2 linked regions of the Oryzias latipes genome follow. The protein of the gene in region 1 purifies or fractionates together with the protein of each later gene. This does not show direct contact. Links are inferred from orthologs where the notes say so. Each region holds a gene or a part of one and is shown on either strand. Other genes may lie near its edges.

Evidence for each region. Proteins that work in one complex are often made in the same cells at the same time.
Region 2: the proteins of cherp (region 1) and rbm17 purify together in Homo sapiens (co-immunoprecipitation; 4 studies listed by BioGRID and IntAct, counting the BioPlex papers as one, with this or other methods). This does not show direct contact. The link is inferred for Oryzias latipes from reciprocal best matches to the Homo sapiens genes CHERP and RBM17.

What each region holds. Positions count from the first base shown.
Region 1 is NC_019862.2:1,435,701-1,440,834, forward strand, and holds the start of cherp (calcium homeostasis endoplasmic reticulum protein), read left to right. Parts: upstream 1-1,927; 5' UTR 1,928-2,114; coding exon 2,115-2,139; intron 2,140-2,771; coding exon 2,772-2,945; intron 2,946-4,729; coding exon 4,730-4,768; intron 4,769-5,134. UniProt on the Homo sapiens protein: Involved in calcium homeostasis, growth and proliferation.
Region 2 is NC_019881.2:3,094,427-3,098,783, forward strand, and holds part of rbm17 (splicing factor 45), read left to right. Parts: coding exon 1-3; intron 4-86; coding exon 87-238; intron 239-340; coding exon 341-391; intron 392-1,829; coding exon 1,830-1,906; intron 1,907-1,982; coding exon 1,983-2,081; intron 2,082-2,156; coding exon 2,157-2,229; intron 2,230-4,357. UniProt on the Homo sapiens protein: Splice factor that binds to the single-stranded 3'AG at the exon/intron border and promotes its utilization in the second catalytic step. Involved in the regulation of alternative splicing and the utilization of cryptic splice sites.

The DNA of each region.
Region 1 (5,134 bases):
GCCTAGCAGTTGCTGTAATCGGGAGATCAAGATATTGTGATCTAGTGTGTCGAAGGCAGTAAAAGGATGTTGGTTAAAGGATGCGAATGTTTGAACAATGGCTGTATTTAAGAAATGGACTGAATGACCCCTCCTCCCTCAACTTCTGTACATATAAACAACTATTACTCAGTCATTCTATTGGTCAGAATAACCATTCTGGCTCTGATACATTTTTAAACATCTACTTACAAATCTTTTTTTTTTTCATATTTTTTCACAAATTATTCAAGTAATAAACTGACCAATCAGAGGCCTTAGTGAAAGCATGCAGTGCCCACTGGCCTCCACCTTGAACATTTGATTGACAGATTCCCCCAAGCCACTTTCAGTGGAAGGGGTATGGACTTTGAACAAGCTTACTCATGGTTGGTTCCAGCAGTTGCCATAGAAACAATGACTCAGGCTACATTGGACCAATCACTGCCATCAGGCTCCAACATGGCAACGTCATTTGGTTGGAGCCTGAGGGAAGCTATTTTCTAGAGGTGATGTCAGACCTACTCAGTCAATGAGAAGAGCGTGAAAACAGTTCATCAAAAGGAGCAGAATATTTCTCAAAGTGAAGATGAATTTATTATTACATCAATCATGGATTATTTGGATTATTTAAGTGAAACTTTTGTTCGTCATCCAACAGTAGGCGGTGGCTGCTTCACTTGTAGGCGGTACTTTTTTTACGGCCTACCAGCTACTTTTGAAGCCCTTGGACAATTTAGACTAAACACCAATGAACCTATTTTAAACTGTGGAAGGAAACTGGAGTTTTCAGAGAAAACCCACACATGCTTAAGGAGAACAACTCCAGACTGAATGGTCCCGGCTGGGATTCAAACCAGCTAACTAACCGCTGCCCCACCATCCAGCCCTTGATCCATAAATGATTTTTAAAAGAATTTGTTTTATTTTCTGAGAGTGTGGCCACAAACCAAGTTAGGAGGTTGAATTTATGTCTTTGTTTGCTTGTTTATTTTCTGCATTAGAGTTAATACCAAATTTGCCAGGAGAAGCAAAACACAATGAGATACTAAGAACAAGCATCAAACATTATAAAGAACTCACATATTTCATGTTTGATTTGCACTTTATCCCAGTAAAGCCCAAACATCAAAGAACTGAAAGAAAATTTGAGTTTTTTTTAGAATTAAGATGTTTTTTTGAACCTTTTGATAAAATCCATAAACAAATTATGCAAGATAACTTTTGATGAGAGATATATAGTATCAATTGTGATATATTTGGTGAGTTGGTAAGTTTTTTCTCACAACACTTTTAAAGATGCAAAAATATTTACATCAGTTTTATGGCGAAAAACACCTTATTTATTACCCGCTTTCTCAACTTACATACACACATTTTAACTGTTTTATAAAGAATTAGCCAGCAAAAAATGTGGTATCTTTAAATACAGCAACTAGTCATTAAAATGAATAATATATGATTTTTCTAAATAAAGTTTTAAAATTAGCAAAAACTTTCCTGCCCAAAATGTTTATTAGATTTAATGGAAGGAACCATTTCAAACGAGCAGGAAAAGCGTTTCTACTGTTCTAGCTGGGAAGAAAACAAGCACCAAGTTATATACAATGGGTTTTTGGGTATGGAAGCGATTCTGTAGCATACTTACAAATAAAAGTCAAAACCAGAAATGCTTTTTCATTTTCAAAATGAAACTGCATCAAATTACTCAAAATTAAAATGAAAAATCAATCCTTCAAAATGCTTTTTAATTTCTAATTAAAAACCCGCTTATTCTGTGTCATAATTAAAAGGAAATTGCAAAGAGTGGATTGCAATTTCATGTTCACATCCACCCTGCAACATTGTTTTTACTGACGGACCTACTACATTTGTATGAAAGCGTTCTCTTCACGCAGGATCCGGAATCAGTCTTCTGTCTTTCCTCCTCCTCCGCGGCAGGGGGCGCTGTGGCATCTGCAGCTGCATCCGAGGGAACTTCCGGTATGCTACGGCGGCTAAGCGCCTCCTGTTGTTGTTAACATTTCTCACAACTTATGGTGTAAAAGGGGCGCTTGTGACCCAAATCAGCCCGGTCTGCCCCAGCTCAGCGCACCATGGACATCCCTAACCCGCCTGAAGGTGAGCGTCAGATCAGCTCTGGTCGGGACCGCTAGCTATTCTTATCTGAGCGCGCGGCACTTTTTTGACGTAAGGAACCGCGCGCAACAAAGAACCTTTTAGAACCGTACCTCCCTGCGTTTGATCTCGTAATCCCCCGGGGTGTTGGTTCTCCTCGTTTTCATCATTCCAGCTACTGGCGGAGACCCACGTGAAAGCACAGCAGGCCTCTCGGCTCCGGCTTCATAATCATACTTAACGTAAAAAATCTGAAGCGGTCACATGAGCTGTTCGGAACCGATACAGAGCAGTTATGTGATTCTGAGCTGACACCAATACAATTGAGGTTCACGGAGAACCGGCTTCATACAGAACTGTGGCTAAAATCTATCGGAACCAGCTGAAAAGCCCAGTGATTTCATCTGAAAACGCACGAACGAACCCTCGGTCGGATTCTAACTGACATTTTACACGTTCATTTACTTTTGGTTCAGATTTGATGGAAAGTTTGGACCCACTAAGTTGGAACAGGTCTGAGAGATGATGAGCGGATGAGAGGAATTGGGAATAATCATCAATGTTATATAATCGGTATGCTGAATGGGAGGAGGCCGTGTCTTCTCCTTGCTCATCCTCCTCTGTCCTCTTTGCAGATCAAGAGTTGAGGAACGTCATCGACAAGCTGGCCCAGTTTGTGGCCCGAAATGGACCCGAGTTTGAAAAGATGACCATGGACAAGCAGAAGGACAACCCCAAGTTCTCCTTCCTGTTTGGCGGCGAGTTCTTCAGCTACTACAAGTGCAAGCTGGCCCTAGAGCAGCAGCAGCGTGCGTACCGTCTGCCGCATCACTTTCAGTTTATGGCTAAAGTCTGAATCCAGTGATGACGGGAGCTGCAGTCTGTGTCTGCGGGAGGTGGGGGTTTAGATCGCCCACCCCCGGTGTATCCGTGAGAGATAAATTGAGTTTTTAAAAAGGTTTGGTCAAAATAATGAATATTTGCAATTATCTTTAAAATGGTGATCAGAGCAGCTCAATAACTCATGACTGCAGGAGAAACGACAACAGCTTGAACTATTAGAATGTGATTGATGATGGGAGCGTGTTACTTTGTTTGTTTGGTCTTCTTAGATGGACAATATATGGCATCAAACAGCTAAAATGTCTCCAGATAAACCATCCAATCATATTTGAAAGGTTTTGCCACCGGAAAGAGGGATTCATGATGTTCTTCAGAAATCAATAGTTTCTGTGCTGTTAAAACATGGACATGGTCATATATATGTGGGGTTGAACGCTCTGCCCAAGGACTCTGGAAAACACGTTGGTGGGCAGGATTGGAAGTGAGCCGGTGATCCTGCCGTCAGAGGTTGACCGCTCTACCTCTGAGTCATGGCCAGATGTTTGGTTGCAGCACGGCTTCATGAATCAGAAACTTACGCAGGAAATGTTCTGAAGTTTTGGAAGAGCTTGCTCCACCACTGCTTCTTATTTGGTTTAAAGTCCCACTCCCATCATCTTCTGATCTCTTTCCATAGCATTCCCAGGGGTCTTTTCATTATGATGATGCCCTTGTGTTGTTTTCTAGAACATAGTTTCTGCAGAGCGGCAGGAGTTCATTAGAAATTCACGTCAGAGTTGTGGCCCTCCCCTTCCCATCATCCAACTGTTTACATCCTCTCCTGCTAGCTTACAGCCCCGCTCTTCCCCAACGGGGCAACAAAAATGGTGAGCAGTAATAGAGCCATCCAGTCGTCCAGTTCTGATCCAGATTCCAGCTCAGACCAGGAAAACACAGACGTTCATGGATCTGTTGGTCTGACAGTGGATGATCAGAATGGAGCAGAGCAGGAAGCTGGTGGCCCCGCCGCTTTCAGTTCTCATAAATCACAACTAGGAGCTTTTACAAATGTCATTTTTAATCTGCTCTTGATGCATCCCAATTTGAATAAAGAAAAACTCAGAAAAGCACATTTAACCTTCGGTTATTTTATATACGTCCCCCATCGTGAGAAAAAGGCTACAGGAACGTGGTAAAAACACCATTTTCATTGGAGCGGCTCTTTAAAGATGGAAAAGACAGATTAGCATGTTGTCGTGTTTTCATCATGGAGGGAAGGTTGTATGAAAAAGGACTGACAGGATCATCGCTGTTGGGAAAAGGGTGGAGCTAGATGTAAACTCTTGGTAGTGTACAATATCAGAGACAGTGGATTCAGTGAATTCTCCATTAAGTTGCCGGTGTGCATTCAGTCAAAAACAGAAAAGTGGAGGTGTGCAGTCTTTGAGGTTCACAGAGATTTCCGGCAATGAGATGACAGCTGTCAGATGTTGGGACAGGAGTTGTGGAAGCTTTCACCCTCAGTGCAACTTTCCCCTAAAACGGTTTAAAAAAAGATGGCACCCTCTCACACTGAGTCTGCCCAAGTTCAGACGGTGCTTCTTCAATAGTTATGGCTGTTGTGGAACATTAAGAACACTTGGTGACAAGAAATGGAGAGGACAGAAGAAAGCTGCTGGGTGGATCTGTATCGCGGCACAAAGAAACTGCACTTACTTCTGTGAGCCATGTGATCCACTGAAATGCATTAAAGTCTGTTTTCTCCACTCAGATCCCTCCATTCAAGAAGGGGAGGATTGTAAATCAAAAGGTATTTATCTGGAGCAGGTGTGGCTAGAATCTCATGGATGCTTGGAGGCATTTGGGTCTGCTGTCAGCTGCATCTTCATCTTCATGTGGTCTTCTGCTTGAGCATTCCTCCCATTTCTGCAGAAAGTTTGCCTTTTTTGCTCCATCATGGCTCCATCACTCAGCAGGAGAGCCAGACCTGCTGATGGAGGCTCCACCCACCCTGTTGCTGATGAGGCTGTGATTTGTCTGTGTTTGGGTCAGAGCCATGCACATGCATGTTCACGTGGACTGAAGGCTGACGAGGCTTTTTTCATGTGGGTCACATGCATCCTTAAGACTTAGAGTCTTCATCGTCATCGTACGTTAGCTCAGTGAAAATGGGGCA
Region 2 (4,357 bases), on another chromosome or scaffold:
GGGGTGGGTTGAACTCCGTGACCTCAGACATTTACCGACTCCCGAACAGAATAAGAGTTTTTTTTTCTTCTTTCTCTCCCTCTCAGAGGTACGGTGGCCCATAAGATCATGCAGAAGTATGGCTTCAAAGAAGGCCAAGGCCTGGGGAAGCACGAGCAGGGCCTGAGCACGGCTCTGTCCGTGGAGAAGACCAGCAAGAGGGGCGGGAAGATCATCATAGGCGACGCTGCAGAGAAACGTGGGTTTTCTTTTCTACCTCTTCTATCGTGGTTTTTTGACTCCTAAAAACCCGCGGAACTCCAACGTGACGATGTTTCTGTGTGTCCTCTAATGCGAGCAGCGGGCTCCAGCCAGGCGGGTGCAGCAGAAATACCAGGCGGGGGCGCTGCAGGTCAGGACATCTCTTTTTATTTCTCCCAGATAAGGAGGCGTGCCTCCAGCTTGTGTTGGCTCCTCTTCCTCTCATCTCCCATCTTTTTTTGCTGTTGTTGCATTTTTAACAAGCACATCCAGCCAGAACCGCTAATGGAGGCGTGTCCGGCTGTCTTTTACATCCAGATTCTCCTAAAACCTTTCAGCGTTCCAGTCGGTAACAGCTGTTTCGTCCCGCATCGCGTCACATGGTTCAGGCTTCCACGGCGTGCGTTCATTTCTGATAATGAACACTTCGTCAGCCATTAACCCTTACTTATTAATCTTTTGACCAACTCCTCCACGCTCGTTAAAGTCCCATATGTTGCGTTTCTTATTTGAAATTAGCCAAAGAAAGCTTCATCCTTAATGTGTTTGACTAAACTACCCAGAATGCCCAGAGGCGCCAAGAGGCAGAGGATTGGTCAGAGAGGTTCGATGGGAGGTTTTCTGTTTGAATTCCCTCCTTAACCCCTAAAAGACTATGTGGTGTCTCGGATTTGTGGTTGTTTTTGTTTTAAACCCCACTACGAGTTGTAGGCGGGAATCTTGGTTTGAAGCAACTCGGCCCCCTCTGAGTACTTTGTTTAAACTCTCCCACAATAGCTTACAACCCCTTCCACCCCCCCCCAACCTAACATTCCCGGTGCAACAGAATGTTGGAGCTGTCCGGCCATTCGGTTCTGAGGGGGGGGGGGGGGGGGGGGGGGGGTTGAGGGGAGCAGGGAGATGGTAGCTTCTACGTCACCAACAGGATCTTCTTCCAACTACTTTCTTTTGTTAACGATTTGAATAAAGAAATACTCACAAATGCAATTTCCACCTTAATGGGTTGAATCAAGCCTTCAACCATCGTTTTCCTGTTTCTCTCTCTTTATTTTATTCATTTTTGCAGCTTATCTCCTTCTGCTACTTTTTTTTAACCATTCAACTATTCAAATGTTCAGCTCTTCAAATCCTTGAACTTTTCCAGATATTCCAGGATTTCCAGGGTTTCTGCCTCCATTGAAATACTTGGAATCCTTGGTGCATAAGCTCGCTGGTTCGATACCCGGCTCTGGCATTTTTCAGGATTGTTGTTGTGCTGTTTTCATTTTATTTATGGTCAACTTTGATCATGTCTTTCTTTATTTTTTGCCAATTATTACCTTTAGAGTTTCATTTTCATTCTGAAGTAAAACATTCAACCTGTATTGGCTCCTTCTAGTTGTCTTTAACTGTGTCCTCTATCATCAGAAACGCCACGTTCATCAGAGTGGGTTTCTACAGTGATGCTTCCTGTTGTTTAGCTCCACATTTAGCTCGCTGTTGATAAATGTACCCGTCATCCACCCCTTCCGTCCTCACATCAGCATTTGCCTTCATCTCTTTGTAATAACCGTTTGTTTGTTTGTTTGTTTTCTTCCTCCGTCCGTCAGCGGATGCCTCCAAAAAGTCTGAGTCGAATCCGCTCACGGAGATCCTGAAGAATCCCACCAAAGTGGTCCTGCTACGGGTTGGTGCTCCGAATCGCGTCCGTTCAGAGTCCGCGGGGCTTTCCTGGGAGCTGAAAACCGCCTCGTGTTTTGCAGAACATGGTGGGCCGAGGGGAGGTGGACGAAGACCTGGAAGGAGAGACGAAGGAGGAGTGCGAGAAATACGGCAAAGTGGTGAAATGTGTCATATTTGAGGTGAGACGGAGCGTCCCGGACGGAGGGGAAAGGGGGTTTGAAGAGGCGCCTGAAAGACTTCTGCTCTCCTGTCAGATCGCAGAGGTTCCCGACGACGAGGCGGTCCGGATCTTCCTAGAGTTCGAGAGGGTGGAGTCCGCCATCAAAGGTGACTGTCGCGGACGGGCGCTCGAGGCTCTGGTTTCATAACCGCTCCGGTAACGCCGGCGAAGGCGTAACCGTTCTAAATGAGTCGGCCCAGATCAGAAAGAAGGTGAGCCTCGGCTCCCTGAGGTGTTATATCATCTGTGGCCCAGCAACCCAGGCGCTTCCCTGCGGCACCGGCAGAACCGGGCTTACATCACCGCTCGCAGAAAGTGGGGCAGACCAAGGGAAGGGTTACACCGCTCTCCACACAGTCATTCTCACTAAACAGACGCCAGCTTTAGGTTTATGCTGTAGAAACGGAAAAATTTTCACTTTTTAACCCTTGTGCTTTCTGGAGGCACGTTGGGAGTGGGGTCATCTGGACCCCACCAGATAGCACAAGGGTTAAAAATAAAATGACGTCTTTTAATAAAATTCTGTGTTCATCGTCGTCCACAGAGCAGACGGTGCCGTTCCGCTCCGTTCTCCAGCCCCTCTCTGTTTTTTTGTTTTTTTTTACTCACTTCTGAGGGTTGAGTGGTTGCCTGGCAACCAACACTTCATCCCCAGAGTCTAAGACAAAGAGCTTGTGTCCGAACTCCTTCACCGCGCACCATACGGGGCATGGCACCAGTTTACTGGGACGTCCGAATCTACAATTTCTTAAATTCCATCGCCCTAGAAGTCTCAGCAAGAAAAACAACAACAACAAAAAAAGCAATCTACATCACTGCTCACTAGGTTGGTGAATATAGACCACAATGCATTGCGTTTGAGCGATTTTTCATGAAAAAAATAGTATTTTTAATACATTTTTTCATGGACCATCCAAGCTTCCATCACCAGAACAAGAGTTGAATCACAATCAATCTTCGTAAAATGTTTGTATTTGTTCGGATTTTATTACGGAAATTGGTGACGTTGTATTTTTAAAGGGGGGGAAAGAATGATCATGGTGTCTGCTTTTAGAAATCATTAGGTTAGGTTTTAGGTTGCTGGAGCCTATCCTAGTTACTGCTGGGCAAAGGCGGCTTTCAGCCTGGACAGGTTCCGTCACAGGACACATTCGGATCATATTTAGGGAAAAGACTTTACTGTTTCATGTTGCAAGTTCCCTGGTCCCTTCTGACTGGACCCGAGTACAAACCTGTCAGTTTGCCCCCACCATCCAACTTCCTGTTGTCTCCTTCCTCTGAACACCAAAACACAAACGGATGAGAGGAAACGAGCCATCAGACAGACAGACAGACAGACAGACGGGAGCTCCAAATGTGCACAGGAAAAAAGAAGAGTTCCTAAAACAGCCATGAGAAGTGCTGCTTCAAACGATACTTCACACTACTTCTTTAAGTCACTATAAAGCTCTTAGTGATGATTCTCTTCGACCTATAATAATATAATAATATTAACTTTATTTATATAGCACTGTTTCGAAATCCAGATTACAAAGGGCTGTACAATTAATATGAAACAAAACCAGTATTAAAAACAGTTTCCAGTATGGAGAAATAAAACCCAGTACACATATGAAATGGTGATAGTGGTTAGAATCAATAAAATCGATAAATCAGTAAAATCAAGAAAATCAAGAAAAAAACAATGAAATCGATAAAATCAAATGTTTAGATTTAAGAACCAGTAAAATCCTTAAAAGCACACCTGTAGAGGTAAATTTTTAAAAAGATTTAAATACTGGTAGGGACCCAGCGAGCCTGATCTCTTCAGGGAGACTGTTCCAGAGTGTTGGGGCTCTTACAGCAAAGGCCCTGTCCCCAGAATTAATTTATCCCTGAAGCTTCAGCTCACGAAATTCTAAAGCGAAAAGAAGCGGTGTAGGGACCTTAACCATTCAGCCTGCAACACCCGTTCGGGGTCCTGGGACTAGTGCTGACGTCCCATTATGTGATTGGCTGTTCGTTGGTCCGATGACGTGTCAGATAGTCATTGGTCTGGACAAATAACGATACCACCATAGAAGAAAATATTATGCAGTCTGTTGTAAACAAGCAGAGCTCCGACACGGAGTGAGATCATCTTCTAAACACGCTTCTAGTATTTTTACGATCAAGTGCCTTTGCAGCCGTACGGACTGCGGTCAGAACGCTTCTCCGGTCCGAACACTGAAACAAAGAACCGTCCCCGCCTGCAGC